2 linked regions of the Danio rerio genome follow. The protein of the gene in region 1 purifies or fractionates together with the protein of each later gene. This does not show direct contact. Links are inferred from orthologs where the notes say so. Each region holds a gene or a part of one and is shown on either strand. Other genes may lie near its edges.

Region 1 (7,790 bases):
CCTTAGTACTGATCTAATGACACACTTTTAAGCTAAGGTAACATTTGTAAATCTGTCAGTCATTACACTGCATTAAACACCCTCAAGAAAAAAACGGAGCTTTAAGGGGAGGAAGAAAAAAATTATAATAAATTGACGACTCGCAAAGAGGCATGTAAATCAGTAGTCTGCTGCTACTGTATTTAGCAAAATAAACTCAAACTCTATAGAAAGGCTGATAATCAAAAACGCTCACATTGCTCGATCCAAACTGCTCCAGATAGTCAATCTGTCCATCAAAATCTCCTCCTGGCATGACTGAGGAGAAAAAAAATGTATAAAATGATATACATTTTGCAATCAAAATTTGAAAGCATGTATTGAACAAGATTGCAAATTTGTTTACTCACACAAAGCACCAGGCACAAATTCATCTTCATTTGATGCTGCCACACCAAGATCACAGGTCTGATTTTGAATATCTGCAATAGATTCTGGTACTGCCATGAAATCTCGTTCCGGCACCGCTGGATTCTGGGGTTTGTCAGTGTGAGATACAGCCATTGATGACTCAACATCTTCTGCCAGCTTGTAAAAGAATGAGTGTTGAACAATGTCAATCTTTGATGAAAAAGACTTTGAATTGTTGCATTTAAAAAATATTTACCTCTTTAGTCTCAGGAAGATTCGCTTCTACCATATTTTCCTTGCTTTCAGAAACTACCTGGGGAGATCTGGAGGGGGGACAAAATACAAATCAATGGAGCTCGTTCTTATTTGCTAAATGCGTTTATACAAATAGAATTTGAAAGCATTCAGGGTGCAATTAATAAGTTCATGCATCCCCTTAGAATAAAATGAGGTAGCTAGCAACATACACTGCTTTTGAGCAATAGAATCTGATATGGAGCTTTAGGCCTCATTTACACTTAGCAGAATGGACTGGTACTCTTCAGTAGGAGTCACCTTGACCAAGCTTGCATTTCAACCATCAAAATACCAAAAAAGAAAGCCTTTCAGGTCGTTGTTGCACTTTTGGCAAACTCAAATTAATTTCAAATATAGACGTGCATGCAAAGAAAACAGCACCCTTTTGGACAGACTCAAACAATAGAGGCAGCAGATTTGGTCTTTGCTTCTTGGAATTTAATTGCAACAAGATCAAAACAATCTAGTATCATATTAATATGGTGTCATGCGTCTCAGCTGTATTTTTTTGTTTTTAAATTTTCGATATTATAATCATCTGTAAATCCATTCGGTACCGTACTGTTGCACTAGGTACTAGGAAAGAGTGCCAAAAAAGTAACATGGTATTGTTTACTGCTTTAATACTTTTGACGGTGGAATTACAGTTAAATATGAAACCGTACTTTCAAAACCATGCTATTTAGTAGAATCAGGCCATTATTAGCTTGTGCAGATAAGAAATGTTCAGCGTTTTGTGTATGCGGTGTACGTACCGTTGCTCAGGTTGGTCATCCTGCGCAGGAAGTGTCTCAAGTTGCTTAACAGGAGATTGTGCTTTCTTCAAAACTGGACTGGTCTGGACCCCACGTGGTGGTGAGTTTCCCATCATAGCCTTTGTGCCAAAGGGGTTAAAGTTTGGGTTATCAAATTGTTCAAAATCAAAAGTGTAAGAACCTTTAGCAGAAGGAATATCCACAGGTTGGGTCTCCTCTGGGCTTGTAGGAGACATCTGCTTGGGTTCTGCATCTTTTTTCTCTGTGACTGGTGCATCTGTTTTTTTGGGCACAGGTTTTGCACCAACAGGTCTTTTGACCCCAAGGCGTTTTGGAGGAGGTTTGCGTTTAACTTCAGCTCCATCATCAAAATTAAACTCTAATAGCATCTGGCTCTCCTTTGGGGCAGTTGTAGATGAGGAACTCTCTGTGGCAGTGGAGTTCTCCTGAGGTGTTATGGATGGATCGGAGGATGTTGGGATATCTGTCTGGACTGATAGCTCTTGTTCAGGTTCGTGGCTTAGCAGGGGTGGGTCAAAAACTGTTGATGTTTTGGTTGGAGGAGAGTTGGGGATCTTTGACCCACCAGTTTGGAATGGGTTGAGCATTTCAAGGTTGTCAAAATCCAACTTGTAAGATCCTGCAGAAGGTAGTGGCAAGTCCTGTGCCTCGGGTTGACCCTCAAAAACAGGAATCTGCTGTGGCTCTGCCACTGGGTCAGTGATCTCAGTCTCCTCTGTTTCATTGGTGCTGTTTTCAATATTCTCAGTCTTGAGGATGACTGTGCCCTCTGCTGAAGAGAGGTTGGCCGAGCATTCTGCAAGGGAATTCTCCACTGATGGCACAAATGGGAGAGTCTCATCAAGTGCACTTTCAGTCACCTCTGGAACTTCAGCCTGAGGTGCAAGAACAGGGGCTACGTTGCCCTCTGTCGATGAGATGTTGGCAGAGCATTCTGCAAGGGAATTCTCCACTGATGGGACAGCTTCTTCAAATGCACTGTCAGTCACTTCTGCCTCTGTCTCTACCTCTACCTGGGGTGCAGAAACAGGGGCTATGGTTGTGTTAGACTCTACAAGCTCTGATGTTGCCGCCTCCGTAAAAGCAGAAGATTTAGGTGGGGAATTCGCCATTTTATTGGAGCCCTGGAAAGGGTTGATGGCATCAATATTGTCAAGATCAAAGGAATAGGCCCCTCTGCTCTGAACAGGCATGTCATCATCAGGTAAAGCAACACTGTTACATTCTATGTCAATTGGTGTGGTGTGAGTGTTATTCATCAATGAACTCCTGAAAAACACAAAAGGAGGTTTTACACGTTAGCATATTTGTCCATTAAAAACAGGTTAAGAGGCTTACATAAAAATATTTTAAAAATTAATCTTTAACCTAGTTTTCTTATGAATACCTTGTACTATTAGAGTGGTACATTAAAGTTGACAAAATATTGTTTTAGCACTGAAATATTGTTTTGCAATGTGGGCATCAACAATAGTCAAGAAGAAAAAGTAATGTCAAATAGGAATCCTATTTGAGCATGCACCACAGGTCAAACATGATATGTGGATTCAATTATAAAGTTGAATCATTATATTGTGAAAGATTTGAAAGAAATATGTCCTTTCACCGTGAATACATCCCAAGCAAGTTTACAGCTTTCAGACAAAATTTTTGAAAACCCATGTTAATATTATTTGGAAACAGGATCATTATGTTTTACCCATCATTTTACACCAGAAGTCTCTGGGTCTGTTCGAAGAAGTGCCTTTGGTGGAAATTAATATAAATAAAAGGTACACCAAATACACAAATGGTCATCAACAGTCCTGAACAATTGGAGATGCAGGTAATTTACTCACTGGTCAGAAAGGCCTGTGAGAGTCTCTAGTGCATTTTTGTGATCATCCTGGCTGATCGGCCTACTGGTGCGGCTTGGAGACATGATCTTCTTTGTCACTGGATCTCGCCGTGGGGTTTGAAAACAAACCTATATAAGAGAAATTAAGTAACGTGCAGGTTAGTCTAAGCTGTAGTACAAGGCCAAGAAAGGGTTCAATTATTACATGCAAAATAAAATTTATAATAGTACAAATAAATACTGCATTTGTGAATATTAAAGAATCCAAAATAAAATGTAGCATGGCTTCAACAAAATCGACCTGCCATTCATAAGTGTTTTTGTTTCTTGAAAAGTCACTCAGATGTGCTCATATGACACTAAAGAAAGTGTCTATAGAAAAGGTAAATTTACAGTCAAAGGAACAAGTTACTTTTTAAAATGGAAAACACTTGGTTTATAACCAGTGATTTTATTACACATTATACAGTACAGAAAAAATACTGCATGGAAATTTGTCAAGCCCACCTTTGCTGCTCTAGGAGCAGTCCTGTTAATGTTGTCAGCCTGCGACTGCCGCAAAATCGAGGGTCTGCCAGTCGGCTGATCCAACATGAAAATGTCACAAGCGAATTCAGAATTGCTGTTCATCCGTACAGCTCCCTGATTCTCCTTCAGCGCGTCAGAACTCATACTGTAAAACAGAGACACAGAAAATGACAACATGGGTTTTGGAAAGTCACGCCCAGCAGGCACCATAAACAGCTGCTTTTGCTGATAAGACCCGGAGGCGGGCATCTGACCCAACACCCAGAGACCCTAGTCCTGAGACACTTCAAATCTGTTGCATCTCCTTTCAGACTAACCCACTGTGACTAATAACCCAAACCAGTGACAATTTAGCCTTGTGCTGAGGGAACAAAGTGCTTCTTTTTAGTGAAAAAAAAAAGAAAAGAAAAAAAAAAAAATATATATATATATATATATATATATATATATATATATATATATATATATATATATATATATATATATATATATATATATATCATGATCAAACACTATGCCAATCCCCTGATACTGTGATTTTTTTGTGAGAATAAGTAGGAACAAGGAAGAGATTGACAAACAAAATCAAAAAACAAAATCATTACCACTTCTGGCCTTATCTGTTCTTGCCTGGATTCTGCTCAACTATGTAGGCCTGACAATATGATTGTCAGCTTTGTATTTGACAGGTACTTCTGACAGCTTCTCTCTCCTACAGCTTACCTGGACAGGTGATAAACAGCTCACTATCATAAATCAAATGATCACATTTTAACCTGAACAAAAGTGAGATATCAGATCAATCCCTCACTTCAGTGGAAAAATATAAATAAACCACATAACGTTTAGCACAGCCAGAGAATTGAGTGCAAGACAGAATTTAGCCTAACAGCTCACATACCCACGTGGATGACAAAACAACATTGAATACATGAATGAATAAATAAATATAGAATTTGTTATTTATTTAAAAAAAAGTTTTTAATGCAAATAAATTAACGTTATCTCCAACAGTGCTCAAAATCAATAAGTTACACGTAACGTCATACTTAATGTTAATTCTACATTTTTATGCCCTTTCCATACGAACTTTAGAAATTTAACTATAACAGAAAAAAAATCTCTAACGTTACATAAAGGATAGCTAACAATCACTTATCGCAATCTTAAAATAACAGGATTAAGTTAACGTTACATCAGAATGTTCGACGTTCTGGCAACACTCACGTAGCAAAAAAGTCAAAGCGATTAAGTTACCTTTATGGTTTCATATCGCGCATTAATAACTTACAATCCTATAAACGTGGCTCGGGGGCGGTTTTCTAAAATACGTACCTTATTCAAACTGCTCAAATCTAATAAAAACCGTTTTCTTCGCAGAGACAGTCAGCTCGACACACAGCATAGAGATGTTGTTGTTGCATTTATAACTTTCCCCGTTTGAAACGGTTCAAATTTAAACGGCGCACTCTCAGCCAATTAAATGCAAGAATCAACTCTCGTCAGGCGGGGCGATTATACGAATCGACCAATAGCATCGCACGTCAATCTGCGCTTTTGTACAGGATATACATTTGACAGACATCCAAACCAGCCAATAGGGTAAGCCGTTGACGCAGACGGTTTATGAAGATAAATAACCTCATTTAACCCTTTTACTTGTTGAAAACAAGTGTAGATTTGACAGTGTAAACTACTGCTGTTGTTGTAGCTTAGATATTAGATATAACTGTTTTGTTTTCGTTTACAGTGTTTCGCTGTACTGAAGATGATACTTTAGTTTTGAGTTGTCTTGAAAATGGAAAGTTATCAGGGAAGAGTGATGTTTTGAACCACAATGTACTTTCACTGTATGTTTTCTCCATACAATGAACGTGACGACAAGCTTTGCAACAGGGTATGTATTAAATATGAATTTCGTTTCATATTGCAATAACAGTGCATGTTATGGACATAATTGTCTTTTATAATTTTAGTTTTTGATAATATATTTGCTGTTAATCAACGCATACATTAAATCATTTTGTTGTTGATGCATTTTTTTAAGCTTTAATAATAACTATTTTTTATTATTACCATCAGACATGGCAATACATGCATGTGATATACTTGTCATTTAAATGACAATGTACTTGTTGTTTTGAATTTAAAAAAATGTATTGTAAAGAAATTGTTTGTATAGATTTCAATTACAATGCATATTTATTTCAATATATTTTTGTCATGCAAAAATCACTTCAGCATCATTTACGGACGCAAGTTTTTACAGTTTTATTAGTTTCTAAGCTAATACATACAGAAAATAATAATATTAATATAAAGGTAAAAGATTGCAGAGGCACATGCTTATGCATAATTAGTTTGATCACAAATACTCCATTTTCTTCTACAAAAAGTGATTTTTTTAGAATTAAGTGGTGATTTTAAAAAAGAATCCTCAAAATTTCTTTCACAAGGTAAAAACCATTTACCATGAATTTGGTAAAACGCCTTGAAATATATATGTTTATTGCTGTTTTTGTGCATTATTATGAACATAATTATCTTTTTAAAAAGTATAGTGGGTACAATAACTTTTTTTTATGATTTACCTAGCTTTAATTACCCATTTTTTTAATCATTACCAGCAGTCATGGCAAGCAAAAGCATACATTTGATGTACCTGTCAATTTTGAGAAATTTTTAAATTTAAACGTAAAAAAAACACGTTTAAAAGTTTATAGTGTTTCCATAGATTTCAATTACAATACAAATTTTTCTCAGAATGATTTTTAATCACTTTTGGACTCCAGATTTATACAGATTTGTTCTTATCGATATTAATAAATATAGAAAGTAATAAAATTCATATATAGATAAAATGTTTACAGAGGTTTATACCCAATTTGTTGATTTTTATTCTGAATTTTCCGAATCAAGCAGTGATTTAATTCCCTTCTGTTAAAACCTTTTACTCTAAATATGCCAAAAAAGCATCAAAAATTTTGAACCTATTATCATTCAGTGTTCAGGTTTTTGTGCTAGAAATTTATGCAGAATAATCAATACTAATTATACATGCCTACTTAAATATAGCATTGTAGAAACTTGTAATACAAACTTTATGATTTTTGCAATTCTTAATGTTTTCAGTCAGCTGTGGAAGCATGGCGATAACTATTAATAATTATTTACCCTTTTCACCTGCAGTGTCTTGCCTTTTTTCGCAAGAGGGCAGCATCGGATCACATCCAATGCCTCAATGAGTGCCAGACTGTTATGGGATCATGTATGGTAAGCTTAAACAAAACAATGCGTGCATATATATGCCTTTGCGAATGTTTATGGACTTGTATACATAAAAATATTAGAAATGCATTGCGGTTGTATGTTCATTTAGTATGCCAAAAACATTTATAAAAGAATCAAAGACTAAACCAAAAAAGCACACTGAAGAATGGGCGGGGCAGGGTAGAGGAGAGGAGAGAGTTACATAACAAAGGCATGTTTGTGCTGAGGTCAGTCAGTGCATTGACTCCCTCTCCCCGCACTACTGACCTGCATTCAGCTTACATCACATACATTAAACACACAGGCTACGGATATCGGCTGTCCTCAGACGAGGTGATTTCATTTATTTTAAGACATAATCTGCATATGCATTTTCTGCATATTGTATTTCAGTCTGAGAATAATCTGAGCACATCTTTTGTAGTGCTTTCACAGTTTAGAATAAAAATGTAATAACAATAATTGTTTATAATTTATTTAATGTATTTGCTCATTCATTTGTTTACAATATTTAAGATCTGATATTTTATAGATGTTATAATGACCTGTTTTCTCATAAATGGTAAAAAAGCAAGTATTTTCTCATTATCTATTTTATTCATTTATTTAAATATTATACAGAACACACTGACCTTTTATGTATTATAAGTATAAATGTATTTATTATAAATTATTATTATCATTATTGGAAA
Region 2 (7,262 bases), on another chromosome or scaffold:
AGATTAAATCTGATCTTTATTTTGTATTCTTTATTGGATTCAAGTCAGGTGATTGGCTGGGCCATTCTACAGCTTGATTTTCTTTCTCTGAAAGCATTTGAGAGTTTCCTTGGCTGTGTTTTGAATCATTGTCTTGCTCAAATGTCCACCCTGGTTTCATCTTAATCATCCTGCTAATGTAGATGTTGGACTGAAGCAGCAAATATTACTTTACAATGAGGAAGGGCAGAGGGTTGCTGAAGAACTACTGAGAGATGCCAGCTGCTGTCTGGGTCTTCAATGCCTTTCTACACCTCCCTTTCTTCATGTGTTCAATACTTTTTCTTCTGCGTCATTTCATTTTGTTACACATAACGTCATTTGTAAACTAATTAGTTTTGTTTTCTTTGCATATGTGGATTTCTTTGGTTGTTAGCAACATCTGGGGAAAGTTTCAACTGTGCACTTTTAGAAATATGTTTTCTGAGAAAAATTGTGACATGTTCAATACTTATTTCCCCCACAGTAAGTGATTGTGTTGCTTCCCGATGGTGAATGAAGTTATACCCACCGCAGTTACTACAGTTAAAACCAAAAGTTTACATACACTATATAAAAACGCACATAAGAATTAAAAAATAAAATGTCAGATGTTAAATGTGACTAAACTTTTTCTCTTTTAGGTAAGTTAGGATCACTAAAATTGTTTCTACTTGCTTAATGGCAGAACAATCAGAGAAAGTTTTTGAGAATTTTTTTTGAGTAATTTTCTTGAAAGTCAAAGTTTTACATAAGATTATTATGCCCCTGAACAAGCCCAGATGGTGATGTTAAGGTTTTGAAAGTTTCTGATTGGCTTATTGACAACATTTCAGTTAATTGGAGGCACAACTGTAGATTAGTATTTAGGAAAACCTCAAACACACTGCTTCCTTGCGTCACAACAGGGGAAAATCAAAAAAATCAGCCAAGACATCAGGATGAGAATCGGACCTCCAAAAATCTGGTTGTTCTTTGGGTACAATTTATAGATGCCTGAAGGTACCACATTCAAACAATTTTACTCAAGTATATGGGAATGTCCAGCCATCATACCGCTCAGGAAGGAGAAGGATTCTGTGTCCCAGAGATGAACGCGCTATGGTGCAAACTATGTGTATTAACCCCAGAACAAACGCAAAAGATGTTGTGAAATGCTGGCTGAAGCTGGTAAGAGAGTTATATTATACACAGTGAAACGAGTCAATACCAATATGAGCTGAAAGGCCACTCAGCAAGGAAAAAGCCATTACTCCAAAAGCATCATACAAAAGCCAGATTACAATTTGCAAAATCACACTAGAAAAAAGACTTTGATTTTTGGAGACACGTTCTGTGGTCTGATTGAATTAATATTGAACTGGTTGGCTATAATGACCAGAGTTACATTTGGAGGACAAAGAGTGAAGCTTACATCAGAACTGTGAAGTATGGGGGTGACAGCATCATGTTGTGGGGCTGTTTTTTCTGCAGGAGGGACTAGTGCACTTCACAGAATAGATGGCATCATTGTTACGTTTCACGTATGTTTTGTGGTATTTTGTTGTTTTTCTGTTTTGCGCTCTGATCTCTAACTCTCTCTTGTTGTGGTCCTATCCTGTTTCAGGTGTGCTACCATTGGTCGAGAGTGAGCTGTCAATTACCTTCGTCACTCAATCGGCGCCAATAAGGATTGGGTCCGCGCAGTATAAAAGCCCTGCGCTTGCGCTGTTCTGGAGGAGCGCTTGGCTTACTGCCAGTCTCCTCACTTGTGTCGACCGGACTGTTCGCTTGTTTGTTTCGCTTAGTTTGATTTCGTTTGCTGTGTTCTAGTTTTCTCTTTAGTGACAGATTGATTATTAGATAAACTTGTGCTGCTCAGTTTATTGTCTAGTGAGAATTTGAATGATCTTTATGAGAATTGGATTACCTGAGATCTTGTTTTGCTAATGGCTAACAGTGTGTACTTTGCGAGAATTCTAGTAATGCGAGCAGCTTAGTATAATTCTATATTAGTTAGTTTATGGAGGCGTTGCCACATGTGTAATTATGTTTTGAAGTTATGAAGTTTAGTTAAGCTACGTGCTGAAGATTACGGTTTTGTTTCTGCATTTTTCTTTGATCAATCAGTTTAGTGGGTTGGGGTTTAGTTAGATCATTCTGTTATATTTATTTCTTTGTTTTGGCAACACTCCTGTTTTCTTTATTTATTTTCTTTATTTATTTATAAATTACATTTACCTAACATTTCATATTCATTGTTTGACATTATCCATTAATAAATACTTACTTTTTGTTTCACTTATCAAGCGTCTGTGTCTTCTCCTCATTTATCCAGCATCAATCGACTCACTGATTGTTACGTTTTATCCATTTAATTATTTAACATCTTAAACACGTAACATCATGAAGAAAGAACACTATAACCATGACCCTAAGCATACTGCCAAAATAGTTAAAATATGCTTTAAGAACAACAGTGAAAGTTTTGGAGAGGCCATCACGAAGCCCTGATCTCAATCCTATAGAAAATGTGTGGGCAGAGTTGAAAAAGCATGTGTGAGCAAGACAGCCAACAAATCTGACTCAGTTTCACCAATTCTGTCAGGAGGAAAGGGCCAAAATTCCAGCAAACTATTGTGAGAAGCTTGTGAAAGGATACCCAAAATATTTGACCCCCTATTCAGTTTAATGGCAATAGATACTCATACACTACATGGCTGAGTCTATAAGTGCATAAAGTGTCATTTGGGATGCAACTATCCTCTTTTTGTGAATAATCTCACCTTGGGCACTTTGCGAAGTTTGGCAGCTGCCAGAGCAGCAGCGAGACCACCACCACCACCAGGTCCTCCACCCCCATCACTTCCTCCAGAAGAGGGCAGTGGTGGAGCAGGAGGCGGTGGAGCTCCTCCTCCTGAAGGCGGAGGCCCAGGTGGTGGAGGAGGTCCAGATGGAGGGGGTCCAGGGGGAGGTGGGGGTCCCGGGGGAGCTGGAGGGCCTCCAGGGGCCAAAGGCGGCGCTGGAGGAATCACAACTACAGAAAAAGAAAAACAGAAAACGTTCACTGAGCTACAGTGTTTCAAATAATAACCAAACCAACCAGATGAAATTAATACAATTAGGACAAAAAGGTATTTAAAAAGACAAAAAGATTATGTACTTGAATTTCTTTGCTTAGGGAAAACTACTCATCCCAAAAAAGCACAGTAAAATGTACAATAGGAAAATATACTAGTTAAAAATGAAAAATTACCTCATAATTTATTCCCAGCATCAATCGACTCACTGATTGTTACGTTTCATCCATTTAATTATTTAACATCTTGAACACGTAACATCATGAAGAAAGAACACTATAACCATGACCCTAAGCATACTGCCAAATTAGTTAAAACATGCTTTAAGAACAACAGTGAAAGTTTTGGAGAGGCCATCACGAAGCCCTGATCTCAAAATGTGTGGGCAGAGTTGAAAAAGCATGTGTGAGCAAGACAGCCAACAAATCTGACTCAGTTTCACCAATTCTGTCAGGAGGAAAGGGCCAAAATTCCAGCAAACTATTGTGAGAAGCTTGTGAAAGGATACCCAAAACATTTGACCCCCTATTCAGTTTAATGGCAAAGCTAAAAAAATAATTCTAAAATAGTAAACATTTAGTACGATTTAACATCAGTATAAAAATATACTAGTTAAAAATGAAAAATTACCTCATAATTTATTCCCCCTTAAACCTTCATGAGTTTTCTCTTCTGTTGATCACAAACGAAGATATTCTGAAGAATGCTGCTAGCCCAACGACTTCCATAATGGGAAACAGAGTTATTATAGAAGTCAATGGGTTTATAGTCTGGTTTATACTCAACGCATTGGCTAGTTCGCTTGAGTGTGCGCGGCAAATGTGACCTCATCGATGTGTTTGCGGAGGTTCATTTTGGGTGTGCGCCACATGATTTCGGCTGGCTGAGCGCATGATTTTTTTTGAGACTCGAGCGAACAGTGTGCGCGGCTCTGCGTTTGATTTGAGTTGAGTATGAAACACTTTGAAGAGATTTTGTCTGAAGCGGGTACTGTACGACTGCCTGATCATAGGGAGAACTAGATGACCGATAATTATTGGCTAGAAATTGCAGCAGCTGTGTGAGAGGAAAAAAAGTTTTTGTTAAAAATTTTGGAAAAACCCATGGGATAAGTTTGTTAAAGCCAAAAGAGGATGCGGAGACCCATGTACACAATTAAAGAATGTATTTTTCCCACCATTGAAGGGTTTAACACTGATGTATATTACAATTTTGAATTTAAAACAATTTATTAGTTACAAAACTATTATTAAGGAACAAATTATTACTTTGATAACAGGAAAGGAATATTTGAACCTTTCGGTTTACAATAAACTGATGCCCTGTTTGGCTAACACGTCAAGTATAAAAACCTTGTCCATTTCGTGAGGTGAGCCCGCAGTCAGTGGAGGTCCGTGACACGGTGCCAGACGAAAGTATAAATCAGGCTTAAGCCAGTGGTTCCCAAAGTGGGGGTCGGAACAATGAAAGAGGGGATGGGGTCGCTTGGTGATTTCCAAAAACCTAATTCATTTTATTAAACTATTAGAATTACCATATTTTACCCATATCCTACTGAAGACAAAAATAGAAGTTTACAGTTACTATATACCATTTACTTACTGCAGTAGCTTATAGTTCTATTGGATTGCGACCCCTGCAGTGATTAGGTTATATTAAAGACACAGCAATAGCATCAGATGCAGCAGACTGATTTTAGGGCACCAGATTAAACTTTGACACATTTACAGCACTCACATACAGAAAAAAAATTAAGAATACACTTGGGCCTATTGGTGTGTGCGCACCATTGCATGCAAGGTTTCTGTATTTATAACCACCTCAGAGGATATTGGGGGTTTCAAGTCACTGGCATTTTTATTTTGGGGGTTGCAGGCTGAAAAGTTTGGGAACCCCTGGTTTAAGAAACCAGGATTTTTCTAAATATCTTCTTTTGTGATCAACAGAAGAAAGAAACTCAAATAGATTTTGAATAAGCGAAGGATGAGCGAATGATGGATTTTTTTTATTTATTTTTGGGTTAACTGTCTATTTAATTAACAGTGATTCATGGATGTTTTCCATTCATTTACATTTTCAGATTGCATCATGGGAGCGTGATCTTCAAAAAGTTGAACAAAGTGACTTTTACTGCTATTTTTAGCAGTCTGAAAAAAAAACTGTCTGGTTTGGTTACATAATTATGGTGCGGGTAATGAGCTGAGTGTTTGAAGCAGATATCAAGGTCACATAATGCAGTATGTAGGCATCAATAAAAGAGAACATCTGTGAATCTCAAGCTATGGGCAAATATAATATTAACATATTCTTAAGTGTATACACATTATGATTAACCACAATTATTAACAGTATCATATTTAAACAAAATAAGCCTATAAAACAAATAGATTTTTAGAACTAGTTATTTGAGTTGTGTTCATTTTAAAGAGCAAATGGTAAAATTCACAGTTTGATTTTTTTAGTAACTCTTTATACTAACTACACACTATGAATCATTTGTTAAGCATTAGCAAAATGTTAATTCATAATTCGTTAAGCATTAACTCTACAGTAGACGTTAGGAAGCAGTTTATAACTGCAGATAAAAAAGCTGTATTTCTGACTTATAAACACATGTGCACTGAGCTGAATGATTGTATTTTTATACTTTGTTAATGATTATTTGTATTATTAAGTATTGTATTATTTACAAACTACATATTTAATAATAGTTGATATTTTAAGATCATTCATAATGTGTAAGTAAATGATTAATAAACTATTCAAATTAACATTCATATATCTTATTATTCAGGCATATAATAGTTCATTAGTATGCTAATAAATGCTTTATTAACTCAACTTCATCCAGTTATTATAACCTAATCTAAAGTGAAGACTAATTATGCTTTGTAAATCCCTTATAAATTACAATTAAAGGCTCAGTTCTATTCTAAACAGGAAAAAGAAAATAAACGACTTTATTCATTTTTATTCCTTTGAAGACACACAAACGAAACTGAATCAAATGAAAAATAAATCTTTGCAAGCTTATCTAAAATAAAACTACTGTACAGTTTAAACTTCGCTAAATAACATTGAAATGTTGCATAATAATAATTGTTAAAATATTATATTGTTGTTATTTTATCCAATTTTATTTATTTGTATTTATTTCTAATTGTATTGTAACACTCTTGTTATTCAGCAATGTTTAAACTTTACAGTAATTTTATTTTTAGATAAGATTGCACACATGTATTGTATTAATACTAAGCCTTTAATTGTCATTCATAACGGACTTACAAAGCTTAAATAGTCCTTACTTTAGATTAGGTCACAAAAATTAATAATTTGGCAAATAAATTGATTACTGATGTCCATGTAAACACAGTCACTGTCTTTCTCCCCTGTTCTTTTTCTCCCTGTGTTGATTTGCCTCTAAAAATCAGCATGTGCTCAAACTGAAACTCCCCTTATAATGCAAACCATTCCTTTTTTTGCCACTCAACCCTATCACCAAAACAATCATGGACTGACTCACTTTTCGAATCGGGGGTAGGTTCATGGCTCTTAAACATACACAGTAACCATTACTATAAGCCTGAATAATAACTTATATGAATGTTGACTTGGATAGTTTATTAATCATTTACTAACTAATCCTAAAAAACACCAACTGCTCTTAAATACAAATGGTTTGTAAATATTGCAATACTTAATATAGAAATGAACAATTAATAAGATAACAAAGTATGAAAACACAATCATTAAGCTTATTATACATGTGCTTATAATTCAAGAATACAGCATTTGTATTTATAAATTGCTTATTAAGGTTTATTAATGTAGAGTTAATGCTTAACAGATAATAAATTCACTATTAGCTAAAGCTTAACAAATGATTCATACTGTGTAGATATTACAGTTACCTATTTTATTTTTACTTTCAGAGAAAATTTTTAAACATTGAAGAAGACACTTTAAACTTTTCTTTTCATATAAACTCACTTTTGAAAATTTAATATGATGCAGAAACCAAAAAGGGATATCTTGTCTTTTCCCCATTTATATTTATATACCCCTTATATACACCCCCCCCCCCCATACCATTAAAAAAAACACCTTTGCTGGTTTTTACTCAGAAATAAGTGCAAACTCATGTCCACTGAGGTAAAAGAGTTTCTGCTGACCTGAAGCTACTGG

The links. Proteins that work in one complex are often made in the same cells at the same time.
Region 2: the proteins of tacc3 (region 1) and vaspb purify together in Homo sapiens (co-immunoprecipitation; 3 studies listed by BioGRID and IntAct, with this or other methods). This does not show direct contact. The link is inferred for Danio rerio from reciprocal best matches to the Homo sapiens genes TACC3 and VASP.

The regions. Positions count from the first base shown.
Region 1 is NC_133188.1:39,348,889-39,356,678, forward strand, and holds the start of tacc3 (transforming acidic coiled-coil-containing protein 3), read right to left. Parts: upstream 5,281-7,790; 5' UTR 5,164-5,280; intron 4,552-5,163; exon of another isoform or gene 4,434-4,551; intron 3,974-4,433; 5' UTR 3,973-3,973; coding exon 3,808-3,972; intron 3,430-3,807; coding exon 3,302-3,429; intron 2,733-3,301; coding exon 1,443-2,732; intron 714-1,442; coding exon 647-713; intron 568-646; coding exon 390-567; intron 298-389; coding exon 236-297; intron 1-235. Other genes in the region: mfsd2aa (sodium-dependent lysophosphatidylcholine symporter 1-A), read left to right, coding at 5,666-5,725, 7,018-7,101. UniProt on the Homo sapiens protein: Plays a role in the microtubule-dependent coupling of the nucleus and the centrosome. Involved in the processes that regulate centrosome-mediated interkinetic nuclear migration (INM) of neural progenitors.
Region 2 is NC_133193.1:43,703,801-43,711,062, forward strand, and holds part of vaspb (vasodilator-stimulated phosphoprotein), read right to left. Parts: coding exon 7,250-7,262; intron 3,035-7,249; coding exon 2,784-3,034; intron 1-2,783. UniProt on the Homo sapiens protein: Ena/VASP proteins are actin-associated proteins involved in a range of processes dependent on cytoskeleton remodeling and cell polarity such as axon guidance, lamellipodial and filopodial dynamics, platelet activation and cell migration.